Linked DNA regions of Bombyx mori. The protein of the gene in region 1 interacts with the protein of each later gene in a pairwise test. Links are inferred from orthologs where the notes say so. Each region holds a gene or a part of one and is shown on either strand. Other genes may lie near its edges.

Region 1 (7,173 bases):
ACACACACCCGCCACCAGGACCATATCATTTTGTTCACAAGGAAATCAAGAATGGCGCATAAACCTTAATACGTGATGGGTGGACGAGCTCACAGCCCACCTGGTGTTCAGTGGTTACTGGAGCCCATAGACATTTACAACGTAAATGCGCCAGCCACCTTGAGATATAAGTTGTAAAATCTCAGTATAGTTACAACGGCTGCCCTACCCTTCAAACCGAAACGCATAGCTGCTTCACGGTAGAAATAGGCAGGGCGGTGGTACCTACCCGCGCGGACTCATAAGAGGTCCTACCACCAGTTTATATGTTACTGTCAATTATATTTTTAAAAAAATCGATTGACTGCAATAGATTTGAGTGTAAAGGTAGTAAAATCTTGAATTAAAGAAGGCAATTAAATCTGTTTATTCAAATACGCGTGCACACGCAGCGCGCACGTCCTAGGGTTGCGCTCCACGAAATGTTTCAATATTTATGTTTATTGTGGTAACAATTTGTAGAAATAAAAAACAGAGCGAGCAACGCGCCTCGACATTTCAGCAAAGCCAAGCAGAGCCACGCGCTCTGTGAAGCGCAACTTAAAACGAACAGTAACAAAAGCTGGTGCAAAGCTCAGGCTTGGCTTTGGTGGAAATGTAAAAGTGTCGATTCGAATGGACACTACCGACACCCGACTAGTGACACGTTCCAATCGACTATTAAAAATTATATACCAAAATATTTTGTAATAACGAGTGAGGCTTATTGTTTTGAGATACATTTTGTCAGATTTATATATTTCAAAGTATTTCATTTAATTAATTAGTAAGTATACGCTGTTGCTGCTTGTACGTCATTTCAACGTCTGTATGTCAAAGGCTCTCCGATGAGCAGCCCTGAGCTCGTCGGCACGTGTACAACAATGTGACAAACTTTGCCTTAGGAGCCGGACAGAAAAGAACATCTCATCTTAATAGATGTGACGCGACGTAATGCCTAACCTTTGAAAGTTGACAAAATATCTCCAAAAACACTTAGCCTTCGTATAATTAGGTACTGTACCGGATTGTGGAGATTGAGGAGCTGGTAACGACAGAACTAGTCTAGGGCACCTGTGAGTACTCACCTCAAGTCAACTTTGTATAATCCTCAAAACTGTGCGTCAGTAGCGGCAGTGGAGCGTGTTGGGGTCCGCGCGGGGCGGTACCCCCGTCCGACTCAATCCTACCTCGAAGCAGTCAAGTGTTCCGTTTCCGAGCCGGCCCGCATAATGGGTGTCGGACGTCACTTCTCTCTCTCTCTCTCACTTACTCACTCACACACACTTCCATGAACTCATCTTTGTTTCACAGTTAGTGACAGCATCGTTGCGACCCCCAGGGTTGCAGTAATCACTTACGAACCCGTCCCTATGCACACCTCGTTACATATTTATCACAATAATTTTCATGACGACAGGCGGATATTAAATATCTTTCACATAATTAATTAATTACAATTGCCTATTTATATTTCTTTAATACACTCTAATCGTAAAGTCGATATAAATAATTAATCGATATATCTTATCGTATGGGACAACCCTAATCCTAGATTAACTGCTTATCAGTCGTTCACCGCTTAATACCTTTTGTATTAACATAATCGTTTTTATTATTTCCATACAATGTGGTTGTGCTCTTGTTTAATACCACAACTTGTTATTAAGAATAAATAATTGAGCCAAGCACACCTAGTACTTCCGTTATCACATGAAGCACGAAATAAAAATCAAACTGTTTAATTCAAATCTATTCTCAGTAACAGAAAACCCTGTTTCTATTTTTCCAAGTTATTCTTCCTAACCGAAACAATTAAAAAGCTTACCTGAACATAAACCGCAATCCATCCAATATTCTGAGTTGTCTGGCAGCCTGCAGAACATGAACTAAGATAATTCCATCTAAATAATTTTGAGAAGAAATGATTACCTTACCAAGGGTATCCTTGACCTGTGGCCTATTTCTCAATGTGGGTTCTGCTGGACTTATAAAGACTCTAAGTACTAGAGCTTAAGGAAGAAGTTACCTTATCGACATTGTCCCTAGTTTTCGCCGAGGTCTCGACGTAGGGCACCTGCCAGTTGTGCGCCCTCTCCCTGCAGGTCTCGAGCGGCACCCGGCGCTTGTCCGCGAGGTCCGACTTGTTCCCGACCAGCAGGAACGGAATGTTGTCATCGTTTTTAACACGAAGGATCTGCTCTCTGTAAAGAAGTGGCAGTATGGTATCTTACTCCTGCCAAAATTCAACTCCCGCAGCCGTAAAGAAAATCACGCCGCTTTTATAGATATTAAAATGATCTTTAGTTCGCAATCACGAGTATAGATCTTCATAGTCAGAATTTTTTGAGTGAAATTCAATTTGTAATGAAAATGAATTCTGGAAGCCAATGATCAATTCTTACATTACCTGAACTCCTGTGTGGCATCGAAGCTCTCAGGCTCAGTGATGGAGAAAACGCAAAGGAAGCCCTCGCCGGATCTAAAGTAGTTGTCCCTGATGGCGGCATAGTCCTCCTGGCCCGCTGTGTCCAGGATATCGATCTGGACTTCCTCTCCATCCAGGACAACCTGGACATTACATAAAATGAATGCGTACGTTATGGCTGACCTGAAGGTGAATGTGCGTTATGCTCAATTACAGCATAGATATGACAAGTCTACTCCTTTCCTAATGCAGTTAAAAAACTATCTTTCTATAATTTTGGTGAAGACGGATCGTAACGTAAAGTCAGAACAATGTATCCTCTTATTTACTGGTGGTAGGGCCTCTTGTGAGTCCGCGCGGGTAAGTACCACCACCTTGCCTATTTCTGCCGCGAAGCAGTAATGCGTTTCGGTTTGAAGGGTAGGGAAGGGTAGGAGAACTTATATCTCAAGATGGGTGGCGGTATTTACATCGTAGATGTCTATGGGCTCCAGTGAACACTTAGCACCAGGCGGGCTGTGAGATCGTCCACCCATCTAAGCAATAAAAAAAAACTTCTTACCTTCTTCCTGTAACTATCGGCTTTGGTGGGCTCGTAGTCTTCTACGAATTCATCGTACATAAACTGCAGGGTGAGGGCGGACTTGCCGACCCCCCCCGAGCCCACCATGATCACCTTATGCAGCGTCGGCTGCGCGGCCGGCTTCTTCGACATGCCGACACGACGCTCCACACACGGACACTGCAACAAGGAGTCATTCGACGACATTACAATCTTAAATTTACTTTGGATAACTATTACTGGTGGTGGTGGGGGTGGTATACTTATTACTGGTGGTAGGACTTCATGTGAGTCCGCACGGGTAAGTACCACCGCCCCGCCTATTTCTGCCGTAAAGCAGTCGTTTCGACTTAAAGGGTGGGGCAACCGTTGTAACTATACTGAGACCTTAGAACTTATATCTCAAGGTGAGTGTCGCATTTGCGTTGTAAATGTCTATGGGCTGCAGTAACCACTTAACACCAGGTGGGCTGTGAGCTCGTCTACCCATCTAAGCAATAAAAAAAAGATAAGTCTCATAAGGCATGCAGTATGAGGCGCTTGGAATTTAAGTGCGCGAAGTACCCTGAGTTCCCCCTTCCCGCGTCGAACTAGAGATCAAAGATTCATGTTGGACGTGACGTGCGTGACGGTGTTGCGTATTTCGCACAAATTCAAAGATACGAAATGTCTTATTCACATTTTACTAGTAGTGCGGCTTATTGTAAGCCCACACGGGTGAGTATCACAGTCCTGCCTGTTTCTGCTACAACGTAAGCACACCTTCCGGTTTCAGTGACGGAACCATTATTCTCCTTGTTAGATTTAAAGGCTCCTGTTGCCACATCTTATAAGACTGGCTGTAACTTAATATCTACAGCTTAAAAAATGATAGAGTTCGTTTCAAACTCTATGTGTGCGCAGTCTGTATCCACATTAAATGTCTCATATTAACACCCAATTTCAAAGTTTTTCTACGAGTCATCTCAGTCTCCTCTATAAACACAAGCACATCAAATACCTTAAATATACGGCGATCAAATTTATTTGAAACATCCGCTCAAGAAAATGATAAGTGTATAAATACTTCTAAAACAATTTAGATTCATAATCTAGGTCCACTGAACATACCGTGTAGGCTGGTTGACTGGTAGGAGGGTGAAGTGTTTTATTGCAAATAAAAAAAAGGAGTTTGTAAACAACACAGAAATTGTAGTGGTCTAAAGGATATGATGCCTGAAGACCGAATAAAACAAAATATTAGCATATTTCCTATATTTTTTTGGGGGAATGTCGCCGATTTTGTGGCTTGTGTCGCAATCAGCACCGCTTGAAGCGCAACCGACCCGTTTCTATGGTTAAAAAAATATATCATAAAAATTCTAAATAGCATGGTGACACTTCTTAAAATGTATATTATGAAAACGACAGAGCAAAGACAACTCTTGAAGGAATTTTAATTTAGCGGACACGTGTGGGAGATGTGCTCACAGTCGCAGTTAGATCCCATGACGTAACCACGTTATGGAAGTGATATCTTCAATTAATAGAGAAGGATAATCGTTAACTGTTATTTTGATAAAAATCAGAGAGTTATCAAAGTGCGTTTATAAATTTTAGCTCCCGTTAACACATTTATCCATATCAAATGATCTTGTGTTATTATTAACGTAAATGCGTAGGCGCGCTGACCGCCTGCTTAATCTTAAGAGCACCACAGCCTACTGGGACCAAGCCGTCAATAAAATATCGTAATATAAAAAAAACAGAGATCCACCAAATATTAGAGATGGGAGGGAGCAGCATTATCCGAATAGTATAAAATCAGCATGCTGCAATTTGTTAATCTGCATTTAATAGTGATAGAGGCGACAAACATATGAATACACGCGAGGGTAGGCATTTAATATTATACATTATGCAGGTACGCACTAATAACCAGCTGGCCGTAGGTAATCTCATCTATAAAATATAATAAAGCAACGTGACATATTACTCAACAGAGCACACGCAATACGACCCATAAATTCTCCAATTTCATTGTTTTGTAAAGAGCATCGCATGCTGACGTAACACAGTACATACTAGCCTACTAAAAATATTAGCAAATATAATTCAACGCGTGAAATTCGATATTATTTGCAACGTAAACTTTGACGTTACGTAATTATGAAATGTATAAAAACATATTTTATTTCAGATATCACGAACACAAATAACAGTCGAACGATTAAGAGTGGTTGAAATTGCGTTGTGATGTGAAAATTTTCAGTTTAGGGACATATAATCTTGCATTTAGATGTCAAGTAGATACCGGAGACACATCGTGAATGGTACCGTCCATCGTGATACATGGTGTTTAAAGTCTCAATTGTAGAACAGAGCATAAATATAAAAGTCCATCTTCTCCACCTACCCTTATAAAAAGACGTCAAATGCCCTAATAGGTATGTAGCGAGCGCAGACTTAGAGTTCCGATCGTTAATCAAATTTCACTGGTGACTGGCATTCAATAAAATCTTCCTTATAATTTCCGTTTATCTATAAAATCCTTATCCCATCAGACAAAACAACAATATACTCATACATAAACTGCTAAAATTTCAAGGTGGACGAAAGCAAGCTCCTGTCTAAGGCAGCACGTGCTTTGAATACACAAGATGCTGACATAGTGACTGAATTAGATTACAAAGCGGTCAATACGAGCGATTAGCTGAGAAACGTGACTGGGAATAATAAATCCTTCGTATCAAATGTTATTCTTTTTTCGTCATTGAACTTTTGAATCATAGGCCGGTAGTTGATATTTTATTAATATCGAATACTAGGTAAGCCGTGGGGTCTTTCATCCATGTGTGCAATAAAAATCCCCCTTTTTTCCAAAAAAGTAATCTATACTCTATATTATTTTAATATTATAAAGAGGAAAGATGTGTTTGTTTGTTTGTATTGAATAGGCTCCGAAACTACTGAACCGATTTGAAAAATTCTTTCACTGCTTGAAAGCTACACTATTCCCGAGTGACATAGGCTATAATCTTTTTTGAAAAAAATTAGGGATCCTTACTAAAACTCCAATAATGTAACCCAAGGAGTAAATAATTACCTAAAATATTCTTTACATCGCGTGCCCTGGGAAAACTATTGATGATAGAATAAAATAATGTACTACGACTTTGTAGGACACATTATTATTCACAAAAAGTGTAGCGTAGTTATGCCGCAATAAGTGTTCTTTTAATTAAAAAGATAAAACAACGTAAAATATCGTTGAAATTTTTGTTAAAGACCCGAGCGGAGCCGGAGCGGGCCGTTTGTTAATTATAAACTGTTAACATATCGCAACATAAATCGCAATGTACAATCCACTGTCAGGAAAAGATCGTAAAATGCTTCAAAGAAAGTGTGAACAGCGCTCATGCGTTCAGATTTCAAAGATAGGATAGCCCCCCTTACATAAGCGACTTCTAGCTCTTGGCTTCAAGTGGATGGAAATATTCACGTTATTGAATGTATGGGCGATATCAACCTTTTAACACTAAACAGGACTTGCTACGGGTGTACATTACGAGAAAAGAAATAAGAACTCAAAATATAGTACATAGCGACCCGCCCCCGCTTTGCTTCGGGAACATTGATTATGAAAATAGGACGTCAGATATTTTTCCTACTTACTTGACACTTATTGTTATATTTTGAGTAACTCACAATATATCTTTATAAATTATAGCTTATATGTTATTTTGGTGTATAAGCTATATTATTCTAGTTTCATCAAAATCCATTCAGTAGTTTTTGCGTGAAAAAGTGATAGACATCCATACATTCTTACAAGCTTTCGCATTTACAATGTCAGTAGGATGTACCTACAACCTGTTTGTTCAAGATTCGGTTTTCAGGTTATGCTTTCGATGGGTTTACGCTACATCTTTTTTTCTTTTTTTATTGCTTAGGTTTGTGAACGAGCTCAAAGCGCACCTGGTGTTAAGTGGTTACTGGAGCCCATAGACATCTATAACGTAAATGCGCCACCCACCTAGATATATAAGTTCTGAGGTCTCAGTATATTTACAACGGCTACCCCACCCTTCGAACCGTTCGAAACACATTACTGCTTCACGGCAGAAATAGGTGGTGTGGTGGTTGGTACCTACCCGTGCGGACTCACAAGAGGTCCTACCACCAG
Region 2 (6,615 bases), on another chromosome or scaffold:
TGGTAGAGTTCGACCATCCTCATATACTTCTGCAAAACAAGAGAGGGCAATTTCGTAAAATGGTGCAGGAAACAGGCCCGTCGATGTCGAATTTACTCCACAAACTAGCCTCTCAGGTACATATCGCGATTTCTACTACAAGTAGTTATTAATTACTAGCTGACCCGGCAGACTTTGTACTGCCTCAATCGATAAATAAAAGACCTAAACTTTTGTATAAAATAAACTTATAAAAAACAAAAGGAATCCGTCCAACAGGAGACACATCAAAGGAAAAACAAAATTGTTTGTTTTTATATAATTCCGAACATTTTCATATTTATTCACCTTTTAAACATTTTGTGGACTTCCACGAATAATTTAAGACCAAAATTAGACAAATCAGTCCAGCCGTTCTCGAGTTTTAGCGAGACTAACGAACAGCAATTCATTTTTATATATATAGATGACAATCGTGCTAAAAATTTGTTAAGTCATCACTACATAGTATAAAACAAAGTCGCTTTCTCTGTTCCTATATCTGTCTGTCCCTATGTATGCTTAAATCTTTAAAACTACGCAACGGATTTTGATGCGGTTTTTTTTAATAGATAGAGTGATTGAAGAGGAAGGTTTGTATGTATAATAAATTACATCCATTAAATAGCGGAGAAATCAATAATAAATTACAGTTTCCGAAGCGAAGCGAGGGCGGGTCGCTTGTTTATTATATAGCTACGTCTAACTGTTTAGCTTTTCGGTAGGCCGCAGCTTGGCTCTGCCCCTGGCATTGCTGAATTCCATGGGCGACGGTAACCAGTCACCATCAGGTGGGCCGTATGCTCGTCTGGCTACAAGGGCAACAAAAAAAAGTTTTACGAACATAATAGCGATAATAAAATTTACCAAATATCATATATACAAAGTGACGTTTTCCAGAATAAAAATAGCAAGTATTCTAGAATATTTTCAGAAACAAGTGACATCTATATACAGGTCTGGTGGGGGGAATGTAATACCCCTCCAGGCTGAGCCTTTGCTCGCCCACCTGACCTGATGAAACTGGAAAGGCCTCCGGGCCACCAGTAATCTTTCATTCATAAAAAAAAAGGAATGTAATATTTAAATGTAAAAATAAAGTTTACACATAATCGGTGAGCGCAGGTTAAAAATTAAAAGAAATAAAAAATCCCAGATAATTCCAGAGGGGTAGGAGCATTTCACACCACAAATAATATACTTATTCACTCTACAAGTCCACTATTCCTGGTCTCCAATTTTGAAACGTTAATTGCTACGTCGTTTTACTGATAAATTCGATGCTGTTTTTAAACAATTTGCTGTTGGGTACAATATATTTATATTGTCTACAATGAAAATTGTGAAATATTTGGTACGAGAACATTTCCGATACCTTTCAAATAAGGAGCTGTTGGTTTAAAGATGGTCCAAGATTAGTTACTCTGAATATCTTATGTACGTAACATGAAGCCTGTTCAAGCAGAGGTGCGGCTGGCAGTATCCAGGAATGTATTGACATTGTTCAAAATATTGGCAATAGCGTTAAGGCAGTTTCGCTATTGTAGAATAGTATCACATGACGAATTCTTATTCATTTAGCGATAGGCAGCGGCTTGGCTCTGCCCCTGGCATTGCTGAAGTCCATGGGCGACGGTAACCACTCACCATCAGGTGGGCCGTATGCCCGTCTGCCTACAAAGGCAATAAAAAATAAATAAAATAAAAACATTTTAATAGGTATTTAATTTTCAGAACTACAAGAAGAGCAAGATTTAGAAATAAAAACACATTGATTTAGATAACAATATAATCGTTTATTATGAATAATGTTATGTTATAGAAACAATAATAAAATACTTTGCTTAGTGTTTCCTTTGATTTTAAATATATGAATAAATAAATATACATTTAAAAAAAATCTTAATTTATATTGACATCTACACGGTATGGTAGAGGTGGAGACGGAGAATTAATTCATAGTGACATTTCGTGTAAATTTATCGTGACAATTTATATTGACATCTACACGGTAGAGGTAGGGTCGGGGAATGAAAGATTTAACTTTAATTTAGCGCAAGATTATGATATTTATTTTAAATTGACATAACCTTTTACTTATTAATCATAATTATACATTTGTAGGTCAAAAAAATAATAAACGTAAATTAAACCCTACTTCAAAGTTACATCGTAACAAAAATCGTAAAATCACGAGTGCATTCTTCCAGCGGCCGGACTTTAGTGATTTTTTATAAATATCGGTTAATTAACGAACTCTGTGACAGTCTGGTGTTGCATGGCACTGAGGCTCAAGAAAGAGGTGGAAGACTCAATTCTTTTAATAGTGTTTGTTATCAACACTGCCATGGTTTAAAATTTTGATCTTATTTTTTGTTTCACGAATTAGATATTAGTTATAGATGAGATTTCCTAAAATTTATGCGATTGGTTTTAAAATTTCAATCTCTCATACAAAAAAAAAGAACTTTCCAAAGTGAAATACAAAAGAAACGACATTTCCGAAAAAAAAACTTTTTTAGCAAAAGTTTTCCATATTACAGCTGATATAACAGAGATTACACGTCTTAGAAGCAAAAAAAATTGACCCAGAAAAATTTTTGCACTGTAATGTTTCAAACATTTTATAAGTCTGTGGTTTCTTGTGATTTCATGGTCTGTGGTTTGTGTGCAAATAATTCCGCCATCATAACATTTGCTACTTTTGCTAGATTTTGAAGACAAACGTCTGTCCACCCCTGTATTTTTATGCATTTAAGATTAAAATAACTATTTTCTACATTAAAATAAGACAAATGTAAATAAAATAAACATATTCGCTGTGTCCACTTTAATTCTATTCAAAAGCCATTATCATATTTAATTTCGTCATTCAAAATGAATTCTTTGATAATACTGAAGTGAATTCGTAAATTAAACTGTCTCCGTGTTACAATTCAAACTCGCCAGCTGAAGTGCCATTCGTTTCTTGAAATCCTGTACAATACTTTGCATACGTCTGTAACGCAAGAAGTGGTACGGTGAGTGATATAGTTAAAATATAATTAACTAGCGGCCCGCTCCGGCTCCGCTCGGGTCTTTAACAAAAATTTCAACGATATTTGACGTTGTGTTATTTTTAAAAATAAAAGAACGCTTATTGCGGCATGACTGTAATAGTTAGACATATTCTGTCGCGACACTTTTGTAAATAATAAGATGTTCTACAAAGTCGTAGTACATTATTTTATTCTATCATCAATAATTTTCGCAGGGCACGCGATGTAAATAATATTTTAAGTAATTTGTTTACACCTTGGGTTATATTATTGGAGCTTTAGTAAGGATCCCCAGTTTTTTTTTTCAAAAAAGATTATAGCCTATGTCACTCGGGAATAGTGTAGCTCCCAAACAGTGAAAGAATGTTTCAAATCGGTCCTTTAGTTTCGGAGCCTATTCAATACAAACAAACAAACAAATCTTTCCTCTTTATAATACATATTAGTATAGAAGTATAGATAAATAGTTCCTATACAAACTACGCCCGCCATAAAATTCTGTTCACTGCGTAATGTGAATCTGATCAATAGTTTTACTCACATTTTATCTTCTTCAAGTTCAAGCGGCGGCACGGCCGCTAGAGCCTCCTTTAAGTAGTTTCTGCAACCGAGAAGACAATTATTGAAATTAAATATTTTACGCAATAAAACATAATGTTTCTTATGACTGAAATTGTTTGTCAACGATTTATAATATACATTTTTTAGCCTTAAGAATTATCGTTCGGTTCAAATGTGTTTTCAAACCACCTTTTTTAAATAGTCAACTTTGTGGTCCAGCATCCTAACTCTGAAGATTACAGACATCAGGTCGAACAATCATGATTTCAGTTTTTCTATTTGAGGTCTATACGAAAATGTTTAATGTAAAATTTCTTTGAATTTTTTTTTATTGCTTCGGTGGGTGGACGAGCTCACAGCCCACCTGTTGTTAAGTGGTTACTGGAGCCCATAGACATCTACAACGTAAATACGCCACCCACCTGGAGATATAAGTTCTAAGGTCTCAGTATAGTTACAACGGCTGCCCCACCCTTCAAACCGAAACGCATTACTGCTTCACGGCAGAAATAGGCAGGTTGGTGGTACCTACCCGCGCGGACTCACAAGGGGTCCTACCACCAGTAAATGATCTACCACCGGATCAGAAACACAACCCACTGAGAAGGTCCGGCGAGAAACTCAGTGGGCTGTGTCTGTGGGTTAATTTACACGTTAAGCCCGTCGTCGCAAGCGACGGGTTCAACGCAAACGATGATCGGTGCTTGAGGTACCTAAAAGCAACGTTACCGGATCGAGAGGATCCGAAATTACGTGTTTAGGGCGACATCGACTGTTTACCATTCGATCCACCGGATCGGGTATTGTTCCTCTGGCCGCATCGCTAATAAAGAAACAAATGAAAATAGTTAACTGACTCTGCCTTCCTGGTGAGGTGGTCCCTGATGGCGACGGAGAGCAGCGTGTACTCGAGCGTGGCGCGGAAGGCGGCGGGGCGGGGCAGCGCGGGGGGAGCGCACGCCGCCAGCCGCGCCACCTCCTCGCACACAGTCTCGCAGATGTCGCGCACGTAGCGCCCCGCCGACGCGCCACACACGCTGTCAGTCTGACGATCGTTATTATACATAAGACGGGTGGACCAGCCTTTTTTATGATTGTGTGAATACTGGTGGCCCGGAGGCCTTTCCAGTTCCATAAGGACAGGTGGGCGAGCAAGAGCTCAGCAAGGAAGGGTGGGATTTGCTAACATCTACCCGAGCGCTTCCAAGGGAGATTTAACAACTCAAAAGTAGCTGCTTCGCGAATGAATCTGCTACCGGATCGGAATCGTGACCCACTGAGAAGATCCGGCGAGAAGCTCAGCGGGCTGATGTTTAGGTTAGGTTGCACGTCGAAATCTTTGCCGAGTTCCACAAATACGGTTGCCAGGGTCCCTAAACGTGCACAGAATCCTTAAGCTAAAGACGTCTAATGCAAGGGTTATTGGATCTGATTGGGACTGGCTCCTGCGTAATCAGGATTCGGGGAGCAGTTAGCGGCGGCGGTCTGAGGCTGACTTCATGCGTTTCCGGGTTGATTCGAGGTCAAGGTCGTCGTGTAGCTCGACATTCCTCACGAACCACGGTAGGGGGACCGCTCAGAGTGCACTCCCCGATAATCGCTTAACGAGGCGATAGTATACTATTTGCGAACCAGCTGTCCTACCCATCCTTCAAAATCGCTTACATGACGATAATAAAAAAAATATATATTCCCCACCTAAGCCATTATTTATGACTCAAACAGCACGGACAAAATAATCTAATCTAATATATAAAATTCTCGTAATATATAAAATTCTCGTAATATATAAAATTCTCGTAATATATAAAGTTCTCGTAATATATAAAATTCTCGTAATATATAAAATTCTCGTGTCACATTGTTCGTTCCCATACTCCTCTGAAACGGCTCGACCGATTTTCGTGAATCTTAGCGTGCATATCGGTCAGGGTTGAGAATCTAACAACATCTATTTTTCATTCCCCTAAATGTTAAGGGTGGTCCAACCCTAAATTTATTTTTTTATTTTTTAGACAAAAATTTTTGTTTTTATGTTTTTATGATACAGCATACAAAAATACATACAACCCTAAATTTTGACCCCTCTACGATCAACCCTTATTCTTTATTTGCTAATTAAAAACTTTAAATTTTTTTGTAAGAATTTTGTTTTTATTTTGTTATGACTTAGAATAAAAAACTTCATCTTACTTTGAAATTTTCACCCCTCTACGATCAACCCCTATTTTTTATTTGTTAATTATAAACGACGGAAGAAGACACGGATGGAGTATGTGAATGACGATATGAGAGAGAGAGAGGAGTGAGTGTTGAGATGACGGCTGATCGAATAGACGTGATAGAAGAGAATGGAAGAAAAAAATTAGCTGTGCCGACCCCACCTACTGGGATAAGGTGGAGAAAAAGAAAAGAAGAATTATAAACTTTAATTTTTTTGGCAAGATTTCATTTTTATTTTGTCATAAATTAAAATAAAAAATCTGATGTTACTCTCAATTTTTCATCCTCTATGATCAACCCCTATTTTTTATTTGTTAATTATAAACTTTAATTTTATTTGGCAAGAATTTTTTATTTATTTTGTCATGATTTAAAATAAAAAAAATCATATTACTGTCAATTTTCACTCTTATACGATCAACCCCTATTTTTCCACGCCGTTTTTTTTTTTATTCTATGCTCATATCCGCAATAAGATTGCGAGATGGCAAACAAATATTATAATTGTAGTACGATAAATCTGAGTTTATAATTTCAAGTTCCTTAAATTATTATTTTTTTTTAAATTCGATTTGATCTCCCGCTCTCGCCGGTCGACTACTGATCAACTATCAATCGATCAGTTATCCCCGCCAGGTGTATCCAGCAAACATCACGTAGTAGGGATGAGGACGAAGCCGGTCTCCTGTCTTACTCACTATACATTTTTCAGCCATGTTTTTTTGGTTTTATTTGTGTATCAATAGTATGTTCAGTAGGTCTGAGAATCGGCTAC

The links. The genes of interacting proteins can lie anywhere in the genome.
Region 2: the proteins of ras-related protein Ral-a (region 1) and exocyst complex component 2 interact in a two-hybrid assay, tested with the Drosophila melanogaster proteins (2 studies listed by BioGRID). The link is inferred for Bombyx mori from reciprocal best matches to the Drosophila melanogaster genes Rala and Sec5.

The regions. Positions count from the first base shown.
Region 1 is NC_085114.1:15,863,032-15,870,204, reverse strand, and holds part of ras-related protein Ral-a, read right to left. Parts: intron 3,189-7,173; coding exon 3,009-3,188; intron 2,590-3,008; coding exon 2,429-2,589; intron 2,223-2,428; coding exon 2,048-2,222; intron 1,894-2,047; coding exon of another isoform or gene 1,843-1,893; exon of another isoform or gene 1-1,842.
Region 2 is NC_085121.1:12,814,858-12,821,472, reverse strand, and holds the end of exocyst complex component 2, read right to left. Parts: intron 4,663-6,615; coding exon 4,475-4,662; intron 3,658-4,474; coding exon 3,598-3,657; intron 3,017-3,597; coding exon 2,932-3,016; 3' UTR 1,794-2,931; downstream 1-1,793. Other genes in the region: ATP-binding cassette sub-family C member 4, read left to right, coding at 1-116, 1,753-1,776. UniProt on the Drosophila melanogaster protein: Component of the exocyst complex involved in the docking of exocytic vesicles with fusion sites on the plasma membrane.